Arabidopsis thaliana: one gene and its partners. The protein of the gene in region 1 interacts with the protein of each later gene in a pairwise test. Each region holds a gene or a part of one and is shown in the gene's direction. Other genes may lie near its edges.

Region 1 (5,776 bases):
CCGCCGCCGCCTCCCCCTATGCATGGAGGAGCTCCACCGCCACCGCCGCCCCCTATGTTTGGAGGAGCCCAACCGCCGCCGCCTCCCCCTATGCGTGGAGGAGCTCCACCGCCGCCGCCTCCCCCGATGCGTGGAGGAGCCCCACCGCCGCCACCTCCCCCTATGCGTGGAGGAGCCCCACCACCGCCGCCTCCCCCGATGCATGGAGGAGCTCCACCGCCGCCGCCTCCCCCGATGCGTGGAGGAGCCCCGCCACCACCTCCGCCTCCTGGCGGTAGAGGGCCTGGTGCACCGCCGCCTCCACCACCTCCTGGTGGCCGTGCTCCTGGTCCACCCCCACCTCCTGGACCAAGACCTCCGGGTGGTGGACCTCCTCCACCTCCAATGCTTGGTGCCAGAGGAGCTGCAGTTGATCCTAGAGGTGCAGGAAGAGGGCGTGGTCTTCCTCGTCCAGGTTTTGGGTCTGCAGCTCAAAAAAAGTCTTCCCTGAAGCCATTACACTGGGTTAAAGTAACAAGGGCCTTGCAAGGGAGCTTATGGGATGAGTTACAGAGACATGGAGAATCACAAACGTATTGGACTAACTTTATCTTTGCTTTCCTCTTTCTTCTAAGTTCCTTCTCTTGCACCTTTGTTTATCAAGGAACTAATTATGTGCTGTTGGGGTTTTATTGACTATTGTTTTTCAATTAATCATATTTTTCTTTCTTTTCTGCTAGTCCATCAGAATTTGATGTATCAGAAATAGAGACCCTCTTCTCTGCTACAGTGCAAAAGCCAGCTGATAAATCTGGGAGTCGACGAAAATCTGTTGGGGCAAAACCTGAAAAAGTTCAACTGGTAATGTTAAATATTCTTAACCCTTAGTATTGTCAGATGTTTTAACTTGCTCCTTTCTGGTAGAGACTTTGGAAATGTATAAAGAAGTGACTGAAAGCATGTTATGATTATGTTAGATATTCTTAACCCTTAGTATTGTCAGATGTTTTAACTTGCTCCTTTCTGGTAGAGACTTTGGAAATGTATAAAGAAGTGACTGATAGCATGTTATGATTTGCCAGGAATCTGAGTACTACCCGAATATGTATATAAATATATTAAAAGTTGTACTAAGAATGTCTCTCTAAGCTACTCTGCCGCATCTCTTTTCCCTGGAATTTCTTCTACTCTGCAGCCTATGGCATGTCTGTATACTTTTGTGATTCAGTATTCTAGTCTTTTTGAAATATTGTTTTCTTATGGTTTTTCAGATTGACCTTAGGAGAGCCAATAACACGGAAATTATGCTTACTAAAGTAAAGATGCCGCTACCTGATATGATGGTAAGTTCCAGTACCTACTTTACCTGAGTGAAAGTCATGACTGGTTACCCTTTCATAGTTTGATGATAATTATTCAAATTTTTCTTTGCATCGTCCAGGCTGCAGTTCTGGCAATGGATGAGTCTGTACTAGATGTTGATCAAATAGAGAATCTTATAAAGTTTTGCCCAACCAAGGAGGAGATGGAGCTACTTAAGGTTACGTCTTGACTTTTGAGTAGCATTATCTATTTCTGTCTTTACTTTGGAGATCATTTGTGAAATATGTCAATTATTGGTTATCATTATTCACTTGTTATTGACATGAGTCCTTGTTCTTGGTCGTAATTGTCTGGTTTGTTCTAGAACTACACTGGTGACAAGACGACCTTGGGAAAGTGTGAGCAGGTCTGTTTAAGTCTTCAGATTACCAACCAATCTCGCACTGTTTTTGGCTTCTACTATAAAATGGTTAGCAATTAGCTTACTGAGTTAATACATTTTTTGTCATCCATTTTGCTATTGCAGTACTTCCTAGAGCTAATGAAGGTGCCACGAGTTGAGGCAAAGCTTAGAGTCTTTTCTTTTAAATTTCAATTCGGCACTCAGGTCTGGTGGAATTACTTAATACCGTTATTTTCTGTCTATTTGATTCTTTGGAGGACAAAATATAATTTTATTAGACTATTGATAATGATGTTTTTTGTGCAGATAACAGAATTCAAAAAAAGTTTAAATGCTGTAAATTCTGCGTGCGAGGAGGTAAGATGCTTGCAATAGTTAACTCTAGTTTTTGGGCAGTCCATATGCATTTCTCTTTGTTAGAATTTTCTACTTATTGCTTATTCATCAGGTCCGCTCTTCACAAAAGCTAAAAGAAATTATGAAAAAGATTCTTTACCTGGGGAACACATTGAACCAAGGAACTGCAAGGGGTAAGTATTATTTATGTTATTCTTGTTCTACATCTTTTTGCACAAGACATTGCTAGTTGTTTTGTCTGTACGGATAACCTTTGTGGTTGATATGATCCTTGCTTTGCTTTCTGCAGGCGCTGCTGTTGGATTCAAGTTGGACAGTTTATCGAAATTAAGTGATACACGTGCTGCTAACAGCAAGATGACTCTCATGCATTATCTTTGCAAGGTAAATGACAATCAAAAAGAGCAGGATCTAGTTTCTGATGAAGGTTATTATAAAAAGTGGTCTGGATCAGGAGAGATACATAATTCTGAAACTCTCATCTTTCTTTTTCCAGGTCCTTGCTTCAAAGGCATCAGTTCTACTGGACTTCCCCAAGGATCTTGAAAGTCTTGAATCAGCCTCGAAGGTTTGCAGTTGTTCATTTCTCGTCCTCTACTCCTTAGTTTCTATTGGCTCATCATTTGATCGTCCTGTCTATTGCAGATACAATTGAAGTCTCTGGCTGAGGAAATGCAAGCTATAATCAAAGGATTGGAAAAACTGAACCAGGAGCTCACTGCATCCGAAAGTGATGGTCCTGTTTCTGATGTTTTCCGTAAAGTATGTTGGGTTTTTTAATTTTCCTTTTGCACATCTTATCTATCATGAAATTGAGATTAGTTCCATGATTGTGCCACATTACTAAATCTGTATCACTTTTAAAATCATCAATAACCCGCTGGAAAATAATTCTTCAGTTGGGTTTTGTTTATAGAGTTAATTTCTTCCTGATCCTAAAACCTACTTTTATGCTTTGATAACAGACATTGGGGGACTTCATATCCGTTGCTGAGACTGAAGTGGCAACTGTATCGAGTCTTTACTCGGTCGTGGTAATTTGTCAACCTCTACTAGATTCCAAGCGCCTTTACCTTGACAATGTGGTTGATCCTGAAAATGATTTTTGTGTTGTTTCTTATGTTGGACGGCAGGGAAGAAATGCTGATGCTCTTGCTCACTATTTTGGCGAGGATCCTAACCGTTGTCCATTTGAACAAGGTATGACGAGGAATCTATAAACTTAAATCCTCTTGGGCAATACATAGAAAAAGAAAAAGTCCCTAATCGTTATTTAGTTGGAAGTGTTATGTAGCTAATAATAATACCGGGTAATGGACTGCTGCAGTTACTGCAACCCTCTTGAATTTTATAAGGTTGTTTAAGAAAGCACACGAAGAGAATGTCAAGCAAGCGGAGCTAGAGAAGAAGAAAGCTCTTAAGGAAGCGGAAATGGAGAAGGCAAAAGGAGTCAACCTCACAAAGAAACCAGTTGATGATAGCTGACGAAAAACTTAAGTATCAATTTGCAAATTCCGCCTCAACCTCTCAAGAGAACTGAGCTAGTCTTGTAAGCCAGCAAAGAGGCGGTGGTGCTGTTCAAGTAAACCTTTCCGCAAAGCGGCATTGGATGCTTAGTGCGGTTAAAAAAACAGGCTCGGGTCCTATGGGGAGCGGTTTCGCCTGGCGGGGGCTATCGAGGAACCATCGAAAGATTAAGAGACAGGTCTTTTCGCCACTCACGTTTAACATGATTGACTCCACATTGATTTAATTCTAACTTGTAAATTAGAATTCTTTCCTGTTTTTTATTTCCTGATTAGAGGAATTTTTGATAGATTGGAATGTTGTATAGGTTTCAGGTAGAGAGAGTGAGAGATGTAGAGCATTTTGTCTATTTAGTGTGTAACTTTGTATACCTTAACATCAATGTTCTTTTTAGGATTCAGTTCAGACAATGAGACGGCACGTGTGATAAACTAATTAATACAAAAGAAAATTGCGCGAGAAAATGAGATGGCACGTGTGTATGACCAGATTTTCTTAAACGAATCAGCGAAAAGCAACAATCACGTGTTCTTCTTGGATCCCAAAAGTTTGAAACTTTCATGGATTTGTCCTTCTTCTTCTTCCTCCAACTGTTTCTTTCTCACAAGCAAACCCTAGCGAGATAATTCCTCCAGCAAATCCAACTGAAGATGGCTGAAGATGAAGATCATTATTGTGAACAACACCTGATTGGTCCATTGGATCACAGTTCGTCAATGGTTGTCATCAGAGAATCGCCAATTTTCGCCAAGGACGATGGCGTTGTGTTCCCGCCGATCTACCATGAGAATCTCCATGTCGCTTCTTCCGTCTATGGAGTCGATAGATACCTCGAATCTCCGTCGGAATCCTCGTCTCCGTCATCTTCGTCGAGACGCTCTGGTTCATCTTCTTCTTTTTCGTTGTTTCCTTCTGATTCAGATGGACAAACGTCACTGACTGCGTTTGAATTTGACCGGAAGGCTCCGTCGGAAACTGAAGAAAAATCTCTGCCGTTGTTGTTAAGCGGTGAATCTCCACCGTCCGATTCGGGGGAACAGTCGCCATTTGAACAGATATCTCCGCGATTACCTTCTGAACAAGGCGGCAAGTCTCCACCATGCGATTCAGATGGGAAATTACTGGGGAAACCATTGAATCGTGAAGTTGATGTCCTCCACGATTGGTGGGAGCCTCTTCTTGTACGTTTATACTCCAAGTTGAAGAATTTGTTGACCTGGTTCTCAAAGACTATCCGATCATTTTATCCAGTTCTTGCCATTGCGATTTGGTGGTGGATGCGTGTACGAGCTCCTCGGAAACGCGTTAAAGGAGAAAACATGGATCATCTTCGAGATGTGATCAAAGAGAGAGACGAGGTATGTTTTTGTGCATACAAAGTGTTTGATGAAATGCCTAAGAGACGTGACATTACTATTGTTTTCTGATTTTGAAACAGAGGATAGTTCAGCTTTTGCATCAACTTGCTCAAATGAATGAGTTACTGTTAAAGCACCACAAGGACATTGTATCAAGAAGAAGATGATCCATCACAAATTCAAACCATTTTAGCTTATTGATTCTTTTGTTTCTTGTTTATATTATTTCGCAAGCCACTCTCTTTCTGTAAAATTCTTCCATTTTAATCTCTCAATTGAGATAAAGATGTAAATTTTCCCATTGTTACGAGTCAGAGTTACTTCACTTCATACTTAGGATTCTGCAAAACTAGATCTTTGCATTGAAAGGTACTTGAACAAATTGATAATTCATCTTCTGTTCAAGTTTAACAAAAGAATATATTGACTTTATATATTGGGTAAAAATATAAGAAAGAGAAGTGAGCTTTGAAACAATGTAGCATTTTGTTCAGTTAAGTAGGAACTGATTGTGCTTTACCAAACTGAAACTGGTTCATCAGCTGCTAGCTTCGTGCTTCAATCTTGAGCGGTGTTGTTCTCCGAATATCAAACCTGTCTACGAATTTCAATGGAAATGTTGTCTCGTTTCTGATCCTCTTGATCTTAGGACTTAACAATCCCCTGTGACCAAACCCATACAGTTTGAGCACTTGATTATCCGCAAAGTTGAATGCTCGCTCCATACTCTTCAAGCAACGTTCAACCGCGTAATCAGCATAACTCCCACACGGTTTGCATCCAACAAAGTGAGTAATAAAAGGCCATCTTTCATCTCCCAAACCGGGAT
Region 2 (6,560 bases), on another chromosome or scaffold:
TCTTCTTCGTCTCCTTCTTCTTCTTCTTCTTCTTCTTCTCTTCTCTGTTTCTTCTCTCCTCTGCTTTAAACTCTGATGGAGTTCTCTTACTGAGTTTCAAATACTCTGTTCTTCTTGATCCTCTCTCTTTATTACAATCATGGAACTACGACCACGACAATCCTTGTTCATGGCGAGGTGTGTTGTGTAATAACGATTCAAGAGTTGTTACTTTATCTCTCCCAAACTCTAACCTCGTTGGTTCGATTCCTTCCGATCTGGGTTTCCTCCAAAACCTCCAAAGTCTTAATCTTTCCAATAATTCACTCAATGGGTCATTACCGGTTGAGTTTTTCGCCGCCGATAAGCTCCGGTTTCTTGATTTATCAAATAACTTGATCTCCGGCGAGATCCCTGTATCAATCGGAGGTTTACACAACCTCCAGACGTTAAATCTCTCCGATAACATCTTCACCGGGAAACTACCAGCTAACTTAGCGTCTCTTGGAAGCTTAACGGAGGTTTCTCTGAAGAACAACTACTTCTCCGGCGAGTTTCCCGGCGGCGGATGGAGATCGGTTCAGTATCTAGACATTTCTTCAAATCTAATCAACGGTTCACTCCCACCTGATTTCTCCGGCGACAATCTCCGATACCTGAATGTCTCGTATAACCAAATCTCCGGAGAGATTCCTCCGAATGTTGGTGCCGGTTTTCCTCAAAACGCCACCGTTGATTTCTCCTTCAACAATTTAACCGGTTCAATCCCAGATTCTCCGGTTTACCTTAACCAGAAATCAATTTCGTTTTCCGGAAACCCGGGTTTATGCGGAGGTCCGACCCGAAACCCGTGTCCCATTCCTTCATCTCCGGCCACCGTCTCGCCACCAACCTCTACACCTGCACTCGCAGCTATACCTAAATCAATCGGGTCTAATCGAGAAACCGAACCGAACAACAACTCAAATCCTCGAACCGGGTTAAGACCAGGAGTTATAATCGGAATCATAGTCGGAGATATCGCCGGAATCGGAATCCTCGCTCTTATCTTCTTCTACGTTTATAAATACAAAAACAACAAGACAGTGGAGAAGAAGAACAATCATAGCCTAGAAGCTCATGAAGCTAAAGACACAACTTCGTTATCACCATCATCATCAACAACTACATCTTCTTCATCTCCAGAACAATCAAGCAGATTTGCAAAATGGTCATGTCTCCGTAAGAATCAAGAAACCGATGAAACCGAAGAAGAAGACGAAGAAAATCAACGGTCAGGAGAGATTGGAGAGAATAAGAAAGGGACTTTAGTAACCATTGATGGAGGAGAGAAAGAGCTTGAAGTTGAAACTTTGCTTAAGGCTTCTGCTTACATTTTAGGAGCCACTGGTTCGAGTATAATGTACAAGACTGTTCTTGAGGACGGTACGGTTCTCGCGGTTCGTCGGTTAGGTGAGAATGGTTTGAGTCAACAACGCCGGTTTAAAGACTTTGAGGCACATATTCGAGCTATTGGTAAATTGGTTCACCCGAATTTGGTACGTCTTCGTGGATTCTATTGGGGCACCGACGAGAAATTGGTCATTTACGATTTTGTTCCTAACGGCAGTCTCGTCAACGCCCGTTACAGTGAGTCAAAATCATCTCTTTCACATTTCAATCTTTTTCCTCGCTTTATGATAAAGGCACATGTTAGCATAAGATCAAGTCGCACGCTAGCATCACCAGGGTTTTGCTACTGTGTTCATATTAGTTGGTAGTAGTTAAATTACACCTGTATTAATAAAGTCAACGGCTGGTCAAATTTTGATTCTTTGTGCTATTGGACAGGGAAAGGAGGGTCTTCGCCGTGCCATTTACCGTGGGAGACTCGGCTCAAGATAGTAAAAGGTTTGGCTCGTGGGCTTGCTTACCTCCACGACAAGAAACATGTGCACGGTAACTTGAAGCCTAGTAACATACTCTTGGGCCAAGATATGGAGCCCAAGATCGGAGATTTCGGGCTCGAAAGGCTTCTCGCCGGGGATACTAGCTATAACCGAGCTAGTGGATCATCTCGGATTTTCAGTAGCAAGCGATTGACAGCATCCTCGCGTGAATTTGGTACCATCGGGCCCACACCGAGCCCAAGTCCAAGCTCCGTTGGGCCCATATCTCCCTATTGCGCACCCGAGTCGCTCCGCAATCTCAAACCAAACCCGAAATGGGATGTGTTTGGGTTTGGAGTGATCCTCCTCGAGCTGCTCACGGGAAAAATAGTGTCGATAGACGAGGTGGGGGTAGGAAATGGGCTGACCGTAGAGGACGGGAACCGGGCGCTAATAATGGCTGATGTAGCGATCCGCTCCGAATTGGAAGGCAAAGAGGACTTTTTACTTGGCCTTTTCAAATTGGGATATAGTTGTGCATCTCAAATTCCACAAAAGAGACCGACCATGAAAGAGGCGTTAGTAGTGTTTGAAAGATATCCTATTAGCTCATCGGCTAAGAGTCCATCGTACCATTACGGACACTATTAACGTTTGATCTTACACTAACTCTAGTCTCTAAGCGTTTCTCTATGGCCAAAGTATATACACATGATGCAAATTGTTCTTTCTTGTTGTTTGTCCACTTGAGTTTTTATATATGATTCTTTAGGATACTACCACTAGGTTAGCTTGGTTTGTAATCGTTTTTTGTTTAATTTAGTGTAAGTTCGGTTTGTGTTGGAGACTTGGAGTTGGCTCCCATATACTTAAATCTTCAAACATAAGTTAATGTGTTATACTATATTTTCAACCAGTAGACCAATCATATAAATCGTTTAATAATTTCTGAACCACTAAACCCGCAAGTAAACCGATAGATTGATCGTATAATTTCAACCGGTTCGGATAGTAAATAGTAGATCTTCCGTAAACCGGATATGATCTGATCTGATCTCCCAAAAAGTCCCAAATCCAAATCTACGAATCTCCGTCTCCTCCGTCGCATTTTCCGAGGTAGAGAGAGAGATCAAACCAAAGAGACACAGAGAGAGTATCCACCGATGGAATCCGCAGCAACGGCTGTTGTACCTCCGGCAGCCGCCGCCACCACCGCCACCGCCACCGATGATAATCTCCAATCAAGCGACTCATCATCTCCCGCCGACGCCGTTAACCGATTGATCCACGCCTTTTCGCAGCGACAACAACATCTTCTCGACAAAACGGTTCCTCACGTTCTCTATCGATGGATCGCATGTCTCTGTGTTGTATTGATCTACATCGTTCGTGTTTACTTTGTGGAAGGCTTCTACATCATCACTTACGCCATCGGCATCTACCTTTTGAATCTCATCATTGCTTTTCTATCTCCTCAAGAAGATCCCGAAGCTTCTCTCACTTCCGGTGGTTCTCTTCCTACTCGGAGATCCGATGAGTATCGTCCTTTCGTTCGCCGTCTCCCTGAGTTCAAATTCTGGTTCGTCTCTTTGATTCTGTATTATTGATTTTGTTAGATCTGATATAGGGTTTTAGTAGTGAAATTGAGCATAGCGTTATTGGTTTGATTCACTTTATCGATTGAGACTTGAGAGGATGACGAAGCTTGATGACTTACTTGTTAAGGAATTCAACTATTGTAGACTTTGATATAGTTAGATTACGTAGATCTGATCTAGGGTTTTAGTAGCGTTATTGGTTTGATTGCAGATGAATTCATGACTGAATCGTTAGATCAGATGATTGATAATGATGTTTGATGACTTACTTGTTGAGGAATTCAATTATTGTGGACTTTGATGTAGCTAGATTGATTCAATTCTGCAGAGAAACTACATTTTTAGCAAGATTTAGAACCAAATTTAGAAGAGATCGACAAGATTCACTTTGTGAAGCCTTTGTATGAATTCTTTTTAGGTTTATCAATCTAGAATGTGATGAAGTCTCGATTTGATGTCCTTTGGATTTTTTGATGTGGAATGTTGTGTGTGTGTTTTTTGCCATGAAGGTTATCGATCATAAGGGCTTTCATCATCGGATTTATGATGACGTTCTTCGAGGTGTTTGATGTACCTGTATTCTGGCCAATACTTCTCTTCTACTGGGTGATGTTGTTTTTCCTTACGATGAGGAAACAGATACAGCATATGATCAAATACAGATATGTCCCTTTCTCTTTTGGGAAAAAGGTGTGTGTTTCTTTTTCTTTCCTTCCTTCACAGAACTGACTCTAACGTCTGAACAAGTTGAGTAAGTTTTCTAACTTCATCCTCGGTTTGTTTTTCCCTTGCAGCAGTATGGAAAGAAACCGGCTCCAACAGAGAGCAGTGAATGATCAATCAAAACTGTTCAGGTCAGCAATTTTACAGTCTTTTGAGAGAAGTAGCATTTGAAAAGGTCGGTCTTTTGTTCTCTTTTGATGGCCTATATCTTTGTTAGGGATGAAGTAGAGATAGACATATTTTGCTCTTTTATCATCCTGACTATTTTACTGGTTTCACCTGAACTCAATGTACAATCTTATTTTTTTACATCCTTTTTTCAGTGAGAAAATAATGTTTCATACTTGACCCTTTTGTAATCATCATGGTGGAAAACTAAAGACTAATCAGTAATCACTGTCCGGTTCTATCGATGTTCATGGATTGTGTCCTAGTTATTTAAGAACATGGAAATTGCGATATGCTTGGTATTCATGAATGTTCACTGAGTTCTTCCTGATTCTATAATGTGTTTTTTTTCTTTCAAGTGTTAGTTTTGATAGATACAATGTTTCATTAAAAATGAATGGTACTATACAACTCCAAATCTCACGAACAACTACCATAGTTAGCAAAGTATATAGTCATTCACAACATATGACGATTGAGATTTGAGATAATATGTCAAGTAGGAAACTGTTTACTTCAGTTTCCTTAATGGTTGGTAAAGTTTCATATGTGAAGTTCATAATCTATCTAGTCTCTCTACAAAGGTGTGATTTCATAAACCCGGAAAACAAGAAATGGCAACCAAGATTTGATGATATTGTCATTTTGCTTTCCGCAATCGTCGTACTCTGATTTTGAGTAAAAATAAGTAATCCAGTTTTGGTCATTTTAACGGCCCAATAGCAATCACTGCAAGTCTGATTTTGAATTTGTAACAATAAATTAGGATACTCTAAAATACACAGATACGGAATTGACCAAGTAGATATCCTAGTCTATCAATAATTTCCTTTTTCTTTAAACATTTAACATGAAATCGGTGAGAATATTCTTAAATCATAACTAACCATATTTGCCTATTTAATAAATACTATAAAACCCTGTTGCGGCCATTCACAATTGACAATACACCAAGAAGAAAAGAAAAAAAAAAACATATGACGACGATGCCAAATGTTCCAGAGGTTTTGGAAGAGGAGATTTTGTTCCCTGAGTTTCAGTCTACAAAGAATCCATAACGATGACTTCGTTTTTCGGTCGTTAAATTAGGTAAATATTTTTGACCATATCGAAATACAAAGTCATCCACATTTAGATGTGGTCAAAAATATCTACCTGATTAATGGACGGAATGACAAAGTCATTCTTGTGGATTCCTTGGAAATTGAATGTCAAGGAACAGATGTTCTAATTGATAACTAGAGTTGTCCTCTATGAGGAGATATAGCTTACGTCATTAGATAATGGTCCATTTGTTAAGGAGGTATGAAAAAACAAATCATTCATGTATTTCAAAACCAGGACCTTATTCAATGCATCAGTTTAAGCAATCTTAAACATATATATTACAAAATCAGATGATAAATGAAAAGTCATATTAAGGAAAATTCTGAAGGCTTTAACCTCAAACGTGATGTTATACTTTCCATCTTTATTCCGCATCCTCAAATATGATTGGGACGAGTGACGTCTCTGCACCTTCACTCAGAAGTAGTAGGGAATTCTTAGTTTATTATGAATGCCCTTCAAAGTAAGAATTGGAGTTTATGGAAGCTCATTTGATTCGCAGAATATATGTTGATAAAAAAAAAGAAAAGAGAGTGTTGGGTCAAAATTATAGGCTATTGAGTTGTGTCCACTAAGCTAGTTTTCTTGCTTGCTCATGTATTTTGGGCCGAGTTTTCAATCAGTAGTTATCCACATATATTTCGGGATCACATAATTATTTGGATATGATACTTCATGAAACATTTGTGAGCCAGGGGTATCAAAATAGATAATTTAATTCGATCCAAACCCATATGGGTTCGAGGTTTTATTAAACAGGTTTGATTCAACCTATTTATTTATATGGGTTTAATTTACATATTCAAACCCAAAACTATAAAATCTATTGGTTATAGATTATATCAATATATGGATCCTATAAATAAATATACAAAAAAATCCGAAATTATAATTAGAAAACCAACAAAAAATTTCAAATAACAAATTAAAAATATTTAAATAGAAAAGCATCCTAAAATGTTAAAACCACATAACCAAAAGAAAAATATTTGTTACATATATATTATTATTTATATATATATTGTTTTTTACTTTTTAATTCTTAGTAAAAAAGATAAAGTAACATTTATTTTAGATATTTTACATATTTAACTCCAAAGAAAAGAAAATATATTAT
Region 3 (7,834 bases), on another chromosome or scaffold:
ATCATCAAGTAACTCCTAAGAAAGAGCACCGCCGGAAAAAGAGAAAACGTAAATGCGATATATTCTCCGGCGAGTGGATCCCAAACCCTAAAGCCCCGTACTACACAAACACGACATGCAGGGCGATACACGAACACCAAAACTGCATCAAGTATGGAAGACCTGATTTAGGTTTCATGAAATGGAGATGGAAACCTAAAGAATGTGATCTCCCTCTGTTTGATCCTTACGAGTTTCTGGAAATAGTTAGAGGAACAAGAATGGCGTTCGTTGGTGACTCCGTTAGCAGAAACCACGTTCAGTCTTTGATCTGCCTACTCTCTCGGGTACCAATTCTCTCAATGCTTATCCAACTTTTTTATTTATTTTATGACAATACTTACTCGTTTAATACATTACTTGATGCAAAAGTAACCTTGGTTTAGATATTAATTTCAGGTGGAACATCCTGAGGGTGACTCACAACAGGAGTTTAATTTCCAACGATGGAAATACAAAACGTACAACTTCACGATCGCCACATTTTGGACAACACATTTGGTTCGCGCTGAAGAAACGGAAACCGGTCCGACAGGTCCTAATTCATTCTACAATCTCTACCTCGACGAACCTGACCCTACTTGGGCTTCCCAAATCGGTGAGTTCGATTACATAATCATCTCATCTGGACAATGGTTTTTCCGACCACTCTTCCTTTTCGACAAACAAAAAAGGATAGGATGTTTGTATTGCTACATTCCCGGAGTCAGAAATGTCGGGGCACATTTCGCGTATAGAAGAGCATTGAGAACAACATTCAAGACAATTCTTGGATTAGAGAATTTTAAAGGAGAAGTGTTTCTGAGGACATTTGCTCCTTCACATTTCGAAGGTGGAGAATGGGACAAAGGTGGAAATTGCTTGAAAACGCGACCATATAGGTATACATTGTTCATCCGACATTTTCTAAAATATTAGTTTCTTCTAGAATACTTTAATATTATGAGTTTTGTGTTTTTTTTGTTGTTGTTTGAGTTTTCATTCGTCACATCCTAATAGAAACGTCTATATATTCCTTTGGGTTTCTTTTGTGTTTATATAGGAGCAATGAGACAGAGTTAGATGGTATGAATCTAGAGACACACAGCATTCAACTCGATGAATTTCGCATTGCAAACAGAGACAAAAACAGAAATGACGGATTAAATTTGAGATTACTAGATGTCACACAGATGATGTTGTTAAGACCAGATGGACATCCGAGCAGATTCGGACATAAACGAGAAGATAAAGTTATCTTGTATAATGATTGTGTACATTGGTGTTTGCCAGGTCCAATTGATTCATGGAACGATTTTTTACTAGACATGTTGAAAAATAGAGATTTAAAGAGATTAAAATACTAGTACGTAGAATCTAAATTTTCTCAGTTAAACCCTTTTTGTTCATTTGTAATTATATACGAGTATGTTTGGTTACGATGTGGTATTTAGAAAGATCTCTTCCCTTTTTGGCACGGTTTTCATAATCAGATATAAGCTTTTAAGTAATTTCAGATCTTAATTAACACATTGAATATTTAATGATATGGATCTAATATAAGTTTATGGTACAAATGAAGTAAAATAGTCAACGTTTTCCAAGTAACATGTCAACCGTACATACATTAATGTATTTTACATCAAAAAGTCCATGCAATGATTTTAGAATTCAAATAAATAAAGTCTATTTGAATTAGGAAAATTATATATATTTGACACAAAATTAAAATTTATTAGTTTAATAAAAAGAATAATGGTCATAACGTATATATACAAATTATACAACTTTACAAACAAGAAAACAAACGAAAATAGTCAACCCACCATGCAAACGCTACCGTTTCTAAATTGGTTTTAATTATAAATCATCGGCGATCTACGCTACCGGTAACAAGATATCCAATTCCGTGGCGTCTCGCCGGAAAAACCATAAACAAAAGGCTACACATAACCCCAACACCCACCGGAACAATGTCCAAGACATGTTTCGTCTCTGCCTCCGGCGACGGATAAAAGCAATCAGTTATATACTTGTCTCTCAACGCAACCGCTCCAAACACTAAAACCGACAACGTAGCGTGGATCCAATCAACGAACCGCATCCGATATTTGGCTAAATCGGGTAAACCTAACCCGGACGGGTCAGGATAGTCAACGACCCACATGCCTTTGAACGTTACGAAACCGAAGTAGATAGTTCCATCGTCGGCTTTAACGCTATCGGTAAAGGAGCTGACGAAGCAAGACGCGGCTAAGAGGAAAAGGAGAACGGCGGTTAGGAAACGCGTTGCGTGGTCGCAAACGCCGTTTGAAGTGAAAACCGGCGTTAGGAGTTGAAACGCGAGGAGTGTTCCCGTTGGGAGTAGGTTTGAGAGATTGGCTGCTGACGTCAGGGTGTTTGACATGGCTCGCTGAGACATTGACATCTGTCTCTTGAGCACCCGGGATTCTGACGGTGTCTGATCGGATAACTCGTCGAGCTCCGGAGCCGGAGTGTTTGCGTTTCTTAGCCGAAGGGCAGACATCTTTTTAGTTTTGATTCTTTTCAGGTTTCGATCGTTGGATTGATATTGGTGAAGATAATGATGATGATGTTTTTTTATAGATGCTACGATATAGAAACAGCTAATGATAACTTAGTTTACGCATAGTGGACTGTCTGTATTTAAGTAATCTCTCTGTTCAGTTAACTTGTACGATAAACAACATTATACACGACAAATAATACAAGACTTTTTAAAGCTTTTAACAAGATAGAACATAATGCTGAAAACAGTGATTGAGCTAGATATAACTGTGTCATATTCTGCTTGTTCTTCGCACGCTAGTCCTTCTCTGTTCTCACGATTTAGGGTTTCTTTCCCAATGCTCTGTTTTGTTCATTTTCTTTCTTTGGATAAATTGCATACAAACCCTCAAAGTTTCCAGTCTTTTGCAAAGTTGTAGTTATTTTTATATTAAATATCATAAACAACTGATTGCCAAAACGTCGTCGCTCTTGCAAAAGTCCACAGATACTAGTAGTAAGTAAAGTATAGGAAAAGTGGACCAAAGAAACAAAACCCATACAAAAAAAGTCGAATCCAAATCTCTCTCTCCGGCGATCTCATCCATGGCGGAAGGCGGCGAAGATTCCCAGCGGTTGAAGAAAATTGCGGCGGCTGCCTTCGACTACGAAAACGACGCTCGATGGGCCGATTACTGGTCCAATATCCTCATCCCTCCTCACATGGCTTCTCGTCCCGAGGTCGTCGACCATTTCAAGCGCAAATTCTACCAACGCTACATCGTACTTACTACTATCTTCCCTACTCTTGAATTTGCTTATCCATTTTCTTCATTACTTTGAGTTTCGAGTTTGACTTTGTGTTGTGTGCGCTACTGATTTGGGGATTTAGTGTGGACTTTGAATCTTAGGTTTTACAAGTGTGGTTGTTGATGTTCTTTCTGCTAAATTGCTTAGTCCTTGGGTCCGAATCTCCTCGTGATTAGGTTATTAAGCGGAGGGTAGGGCTTTTCATTGAATATTCGTTAGGTCCTGTTTATAATATGTGAAGCCTTCGTGTTGTTCATCTTTGCTCTTCCCTATGAAGATGTAATCTGGATTTGTTTCTAAATCTAGGGTGCTTGCCATGTCCTTCTTTTTTGCAGGATCCTGATCTTGTTGTGGAGCCTATGTCGACTTCATCTTCGTCTTCACAATCTGCCAGGCCAACTGCTACATCTGCATCTTCAACTGCATCTTCTAATGCAAATGAACAAGTTCGTTCACGGAACTCAGGTCAACTTTCTTTGTCTGATATATTCTTGAACTCAAATGAGCTTTTCTTATTACTACCAAAAACTTACCTAATTGTGTGCCTCAGGATCGGTTCCTCGAACCTCTGGGCCATCTGCTACGACTGGTGCAACCCCAAGTTCAATGCGCTGGGATGAGCAGACGATTCAGTTTTCAGTCAATGCTTGGGTAAGATAAAGTTTTTCAGTTGCAGTTTCTTCCTCTTATTGCACAAGTTTAATAAAAAGATCTAGCTCTTGTTAGCCCTGTGAGTTGGGATTGTTGTTGCAATCTGCTGTTCACTCCTTAACTTCACGGACAGTAATGAGATGGTGCATAGTGTATTGTCTGTCTTTATGTTCTCCTGTCTTGCTGAATCTTTGTTGTGTACTTAGACATGAACTAGATGTGACAAATGCTTTTTTGTCTGGAATGCTTCACGTAACTTATCTCCCGTTTCATGTCTCTAAATCCATTACATTTTTGCAGGTTTTTGTTATAGCTGTGCTGGCAGTGCTACCTCTAATACCAAAGAACCTCTCAAATAGGGCTTATCGTCTATCTTTCATGGGAACTGCATGCTCATCTCTATATTCCTTATACTCCTTATACGGGGTACGCCATGTGAATTTCATGTTTTCTTTCTCTCTAGTGATCATGCAATGCGAAATTTTTGTTACTTATGAATTGTAATTTTATAATCTGCAGAGGCCAAGGGCATGGAATATGCAAGGGCTGCAAGTTTATTTTCAATCAATTGTGGCAGCAAAGGATTTCATCTACTTCATCTACTGCCTTACATTCGTCACTTCACATCTCTGTCTCAAGTGTAAGAATTTATTGAAAACTCTTTTGTGAATGTCTTCAAATCACGTACATTCTTATGACTAGTCTCATTATCAATCTGTTGCAGTTGCTTTGATTCCCATCTTGTGCCGGGCACTTGAACAAGTAGCCAAGTTCTTGAGGCGTAACTTTGGTCGGTCCACTATATACAGGTAGGTGCATCGAGCTGATTAGCAGGTTTGAATGTAGTAGTAGGTTCCATGTGTGGATTCTTACTGATGCTTATGTTGTACATGTGTCTTGTTCTGTAATGGTTATCAGAAAGTACTTGGAAGACCCTTGTGTGTGGGTGGAGTCAAACACTACTACCCTCAACATCTTGTCATCGCAGGCTGAGATAGCCATTGGCTTCCTTCTGATTATCTCTCTGCTCTCGTAAGCTCTTTGAACCTGTTAGAAGCGATAATAGTTTATTTTCGCACTTAAGTTTATATTCTCACTAAGTTCCCAGCTTTGCATTAGCTGGTTTCACTTATCTGAACAAAATTGTCATTTTACTTACTGCAGATGGCAACGTAACATTATACAGACGTTCATGTACTGGCAGGTACGTATCATCTTTTGGTTGTAGTCATCAGTTCTTTGTGATGGCTCAACATTCCCAAGTAGAACCCCTGTTTTCTTTGTTTAATTTGATCCAAGTGAACATATAGGAAGAATCATTTCCGTAATAACACCTTTTTTGTTGCTTTGATGATCTTCTGTCACTGAAAGTGTTACATGGGCTAAGACCATCAGGATAGTAATGAGAACTGTGTTTTGTTTTTTTTTGGTTAAAAATCTTGTGTTCTTGTTATAAAATCTGTCAAGTTCAAAAACCTTTTCCTCATATTCTTCCTAAAACAAAGATCTACTAGGTTGTTTGCAGGATTGTTGGTTGGATCTTGAGAGTTGTTCTCATGAACTGAGTTTTGTTATTTTGGTGGCAGCTATTGAAGCTGATGTATCAAGCACCGGTAACAGCTGGTTACCACCAGAGCACGTGGAGCAGAATAGGGAGGACGGTGACTCCGATTATCCAACGTTACGCTCCTTTCTTGAATACTCCGGTCAGTGCCGTTCAGAGATGGTGGTTCAGGTGATAAAAAGAAACAAAATGCAGAGGTGACTTTTGAAACCCTTTTGAAAAACCAGAAGATTGATTAAATAGCTTTCAACAATCCATGTTAATTTCATATTCAGCGTAAAGTAGATTCTTCTTCTCTTTTAACGTTTTCCTTTGGCTATCGCTGAAATAAAAATCTCTTATTACTTTTGGTTTCTAGTTTAGTTATATGTGACTAATTGCCTTTCCAGTTTCCACCTTGCCATTTTCATTGGTGAGATACTTCAAAAGTTTCTAAAAAAATAATAATAATAATATTTTATTATGATTTAGTTTCTGTCCAATTATAAACACATACATATACATATAGTCTCTCAATCATTACTCTAAAATTTCTCTGCATAAAAACAATTCTCAATCTCTCTCTTATCTCTCTCATACTTTATTATTATTTTATATTTTTTAGTCAATAAAAAATTATGTGAGAAATTACCGATGAAAATGTTCTAAATTTTATAATATCTGATTCCATGAGTGATTGTAGAACTTTTGCTCAAAAATAAAAATCATCTAAAATATCATCTGGCCCTAGAAAATCGGTTTCATTGTGTAAAATTATTATATATTGAAAGGGTGATTATTTAAAGAAATTATAGTTGATTGGTTGTGAGTCGTTTACACATGTGGATGAGTGTTTTTGTTCGAAAAAAGGAAATCTAAAATAATGTACATTGGGGGGGGGAGAGGAGTATTATTTAGATAAACCAAATTTGGGAATAAGGTATCTTAATCATTGATTCATATTCCCTTCATTGGTGCGCGTGCCACCGCTTAAATCACCGAACACGTTCCCAAAGTCTAGTACCAGCAAGCAATACCACGTGGCGTCTATGCACAACTATACGAAATACGAGTGTCGAGACATCAAACCACCAATAGCGTATTGTGTTCGAACGCAATTCTAATCACAATTTAATATATGGAGCGGGACCCTTTAAACTGCTGTTTAATACACAAAATAAGAAAAAGAACTCTTCAAAGTACGTAATCACTACTAGATTAAAGAAACCAAATCAGAATACTGTAACTTATTCACATTAATAATACTCATTAGGAAGGAAAAAAATTGGTAGAGAAGAGGACCGGAATACGACGTCGTTTTGACATTCCTCTGTGAAAAAGAGAGAGAGCCGCACATGAGTGAAAGCTTTTCAAATATTTGAAAATTGAAACAAAAAAAACAAGAACCGATCAATTATAAAAGCACAAGACACGAATAGGAGGAGGAGGATACAAAATTCGAGATCCAATCTTTCTCCGACTACTTTCACGGCGGAGATGCAGTTGTCTCCGGAACGATGCCGTCCGATGTCTGAAAACAGAGAGGCTTGGTCAGCGAATTCCGAGGAAATGGAGCTGCTTCACGGCTCCAACAGATTATCTTCACCGGAACATGTTCGTAGAAGAGTCTCCGGGAATTCTTCTGAGGACGGTTCGCCTCGAATTTGCCGGCAGCAGTCGTTCGGTCGCGACATAGGCCATGCAGCTGCCGAGACGTATCTCATTACTCGACTTAGCTTCAACCTTCTTGGATATCTCGGGTAAATTTCATTCCTCTCATGGCATCGTTTATTTGTTTTTAGCCGAGACGTATCTCATGTCCTGTTTCTAGAGCTCACAATTAGTCTTCTCGATGAATTATTCTTACCACAGTTTTATGATAACTAAATGAGTTTTCCGGTAATTAATAATCTTAGGACATGTGATGATGTTTCAATTTTTTTGTCGGAATCTCTGTAAGGAAAGTTTTGTTTTATTGTTGTAAGTTTTTGTTCAGGGTAGGTTACCGGTGGATCACAAGATTACTTGCTCTTGCTTGTTATGCAATGCTCCTTATGCCTGGTTTCCTTCAAGGTTACCCCATCTTCTTTGCTCTGTCTTATTAACAAGCTGTTTTTTGTACACTAACAAAGCTTTTGCTATTTCCTTGTGCAGTTGCATATCTTTATTTTTTCTCATCTCAAGTCAGGAGGAGTATAGTTTATGGAGGTCATCCAAGGAATAGGTATCTCAGTCTCTGCAATCTTGCCTTCTTCAATGATTGGTATTTAGTACATTTTATTCGATTATTCTGGCAGGCTGGAT

The links.
Region 2: the proteins of AT5G07730 (region 1) and ATRER1C1 interact in a two-hybrid assay, tested with the Arabidopsis thaliana proteins (one large-scale study listed by BioGRID).
Region 3: the proteins of AT5G07730 (region 1) and AT3G02420 interact in a two-hybrid assay, tested with the Arabidopsis thaliana proteins (one large-scale study listed by BioGRID).

What each region holds. Positions count from the first base shown.
Region 1 is NC_003076.8:2,456,847-2,462,622, reverse strand, and holds AT5G07730 (uncharacterized protein), read left to right. Parts: upstream 1-4,120; 5' UTR 4,121-4,239; coding exon 4,240-4,947; intron 4,948-5,027; coding exon 5,028-5,114; 3' UTR 5,115-5,276; downstream 5,277-5,776. Other genes in the region: AT5G07740 (actin binding protein), read left to right, coding at 1-572, 720-840, 1,251-1,322, 1,421-1,519, 1,667-1,708, 1,829-2,062, 2,154-2,235, 2,352-2,446 and 5 more; XXT3 (Galactosyl transferase GMA12/MNN10 family protein), read right to left, coding at 5,493-5,776.
Region 2 is NC_003071.7:9,914,633-9,921,192, forward strand, and holds ATRER1C1 (Rer1 family protein), read left to right. Parts: upstream 1-2,810; 5' UTR 2,811-3,010; coding exon 3,011-3,426; intron 3,427-3,954; coding exon 3,955-4,135; intron 4,136-4,239; coding exon 4,240-4,281; 3' UTR 4,282-4,747; downstream 4,748-6,560. Other genes in the region: AT2G23300 (Leucine-rich repeat protein kinase family protein), read left to right, coding at 1-1,608, 1,810-2,498. UniProt on the Arabidopsis thaliana protein: Involved in the retrieval of endoplasmic reticulum membrane proteins from the early Golgi compartment.
Region 3 is NC_003074.8:494,071-501,904, reverse strand, and holds AT3G02420 (dihydroflavonol 4-reductase/flavanone protein), read left to right. Parts: upstream 1-2,940; 5' UTR 2,941-3,132; coding exon 3,133-3,309; exon of another isoform or gene 3,310-3,527; intron 3,528-3,671; coding exon 3,672-3,801; intron 3,802-3,886; coding exon 3,887-3,987; intron 3,988-4,287; coding exon 4,288-4,413; intron 4,414-4,506; coding exon 4,507-4,627; intron 4,628-4,711; coding exon 4,712-4,796; intron 4,797-4,905; coding exon 4,906-5,019; intron 5,020-5,151; coding exon 5,152-5,191; intron 5,192-5,573; coding exon 5,574-5,726; 3' UTR 5,727-6,021; downstream 6,022-7,834. Other genes in the region: TBL20 (TRICHOME BIREFRINGENCE-LIKE 20), read left to right, coding at 1-326, 439-920, 1,082-1,385; AT3G02430 (transmembrane protein, putative (DUF679)), read right to left, coding at 1,886-2,545; ICME-LIKE2 (alpha/beta-Hydrolases superfamily protein), read left to right, coding at 7,028-7,290, 7,527-7,603, 7,685-7,754, 7,828-7,834.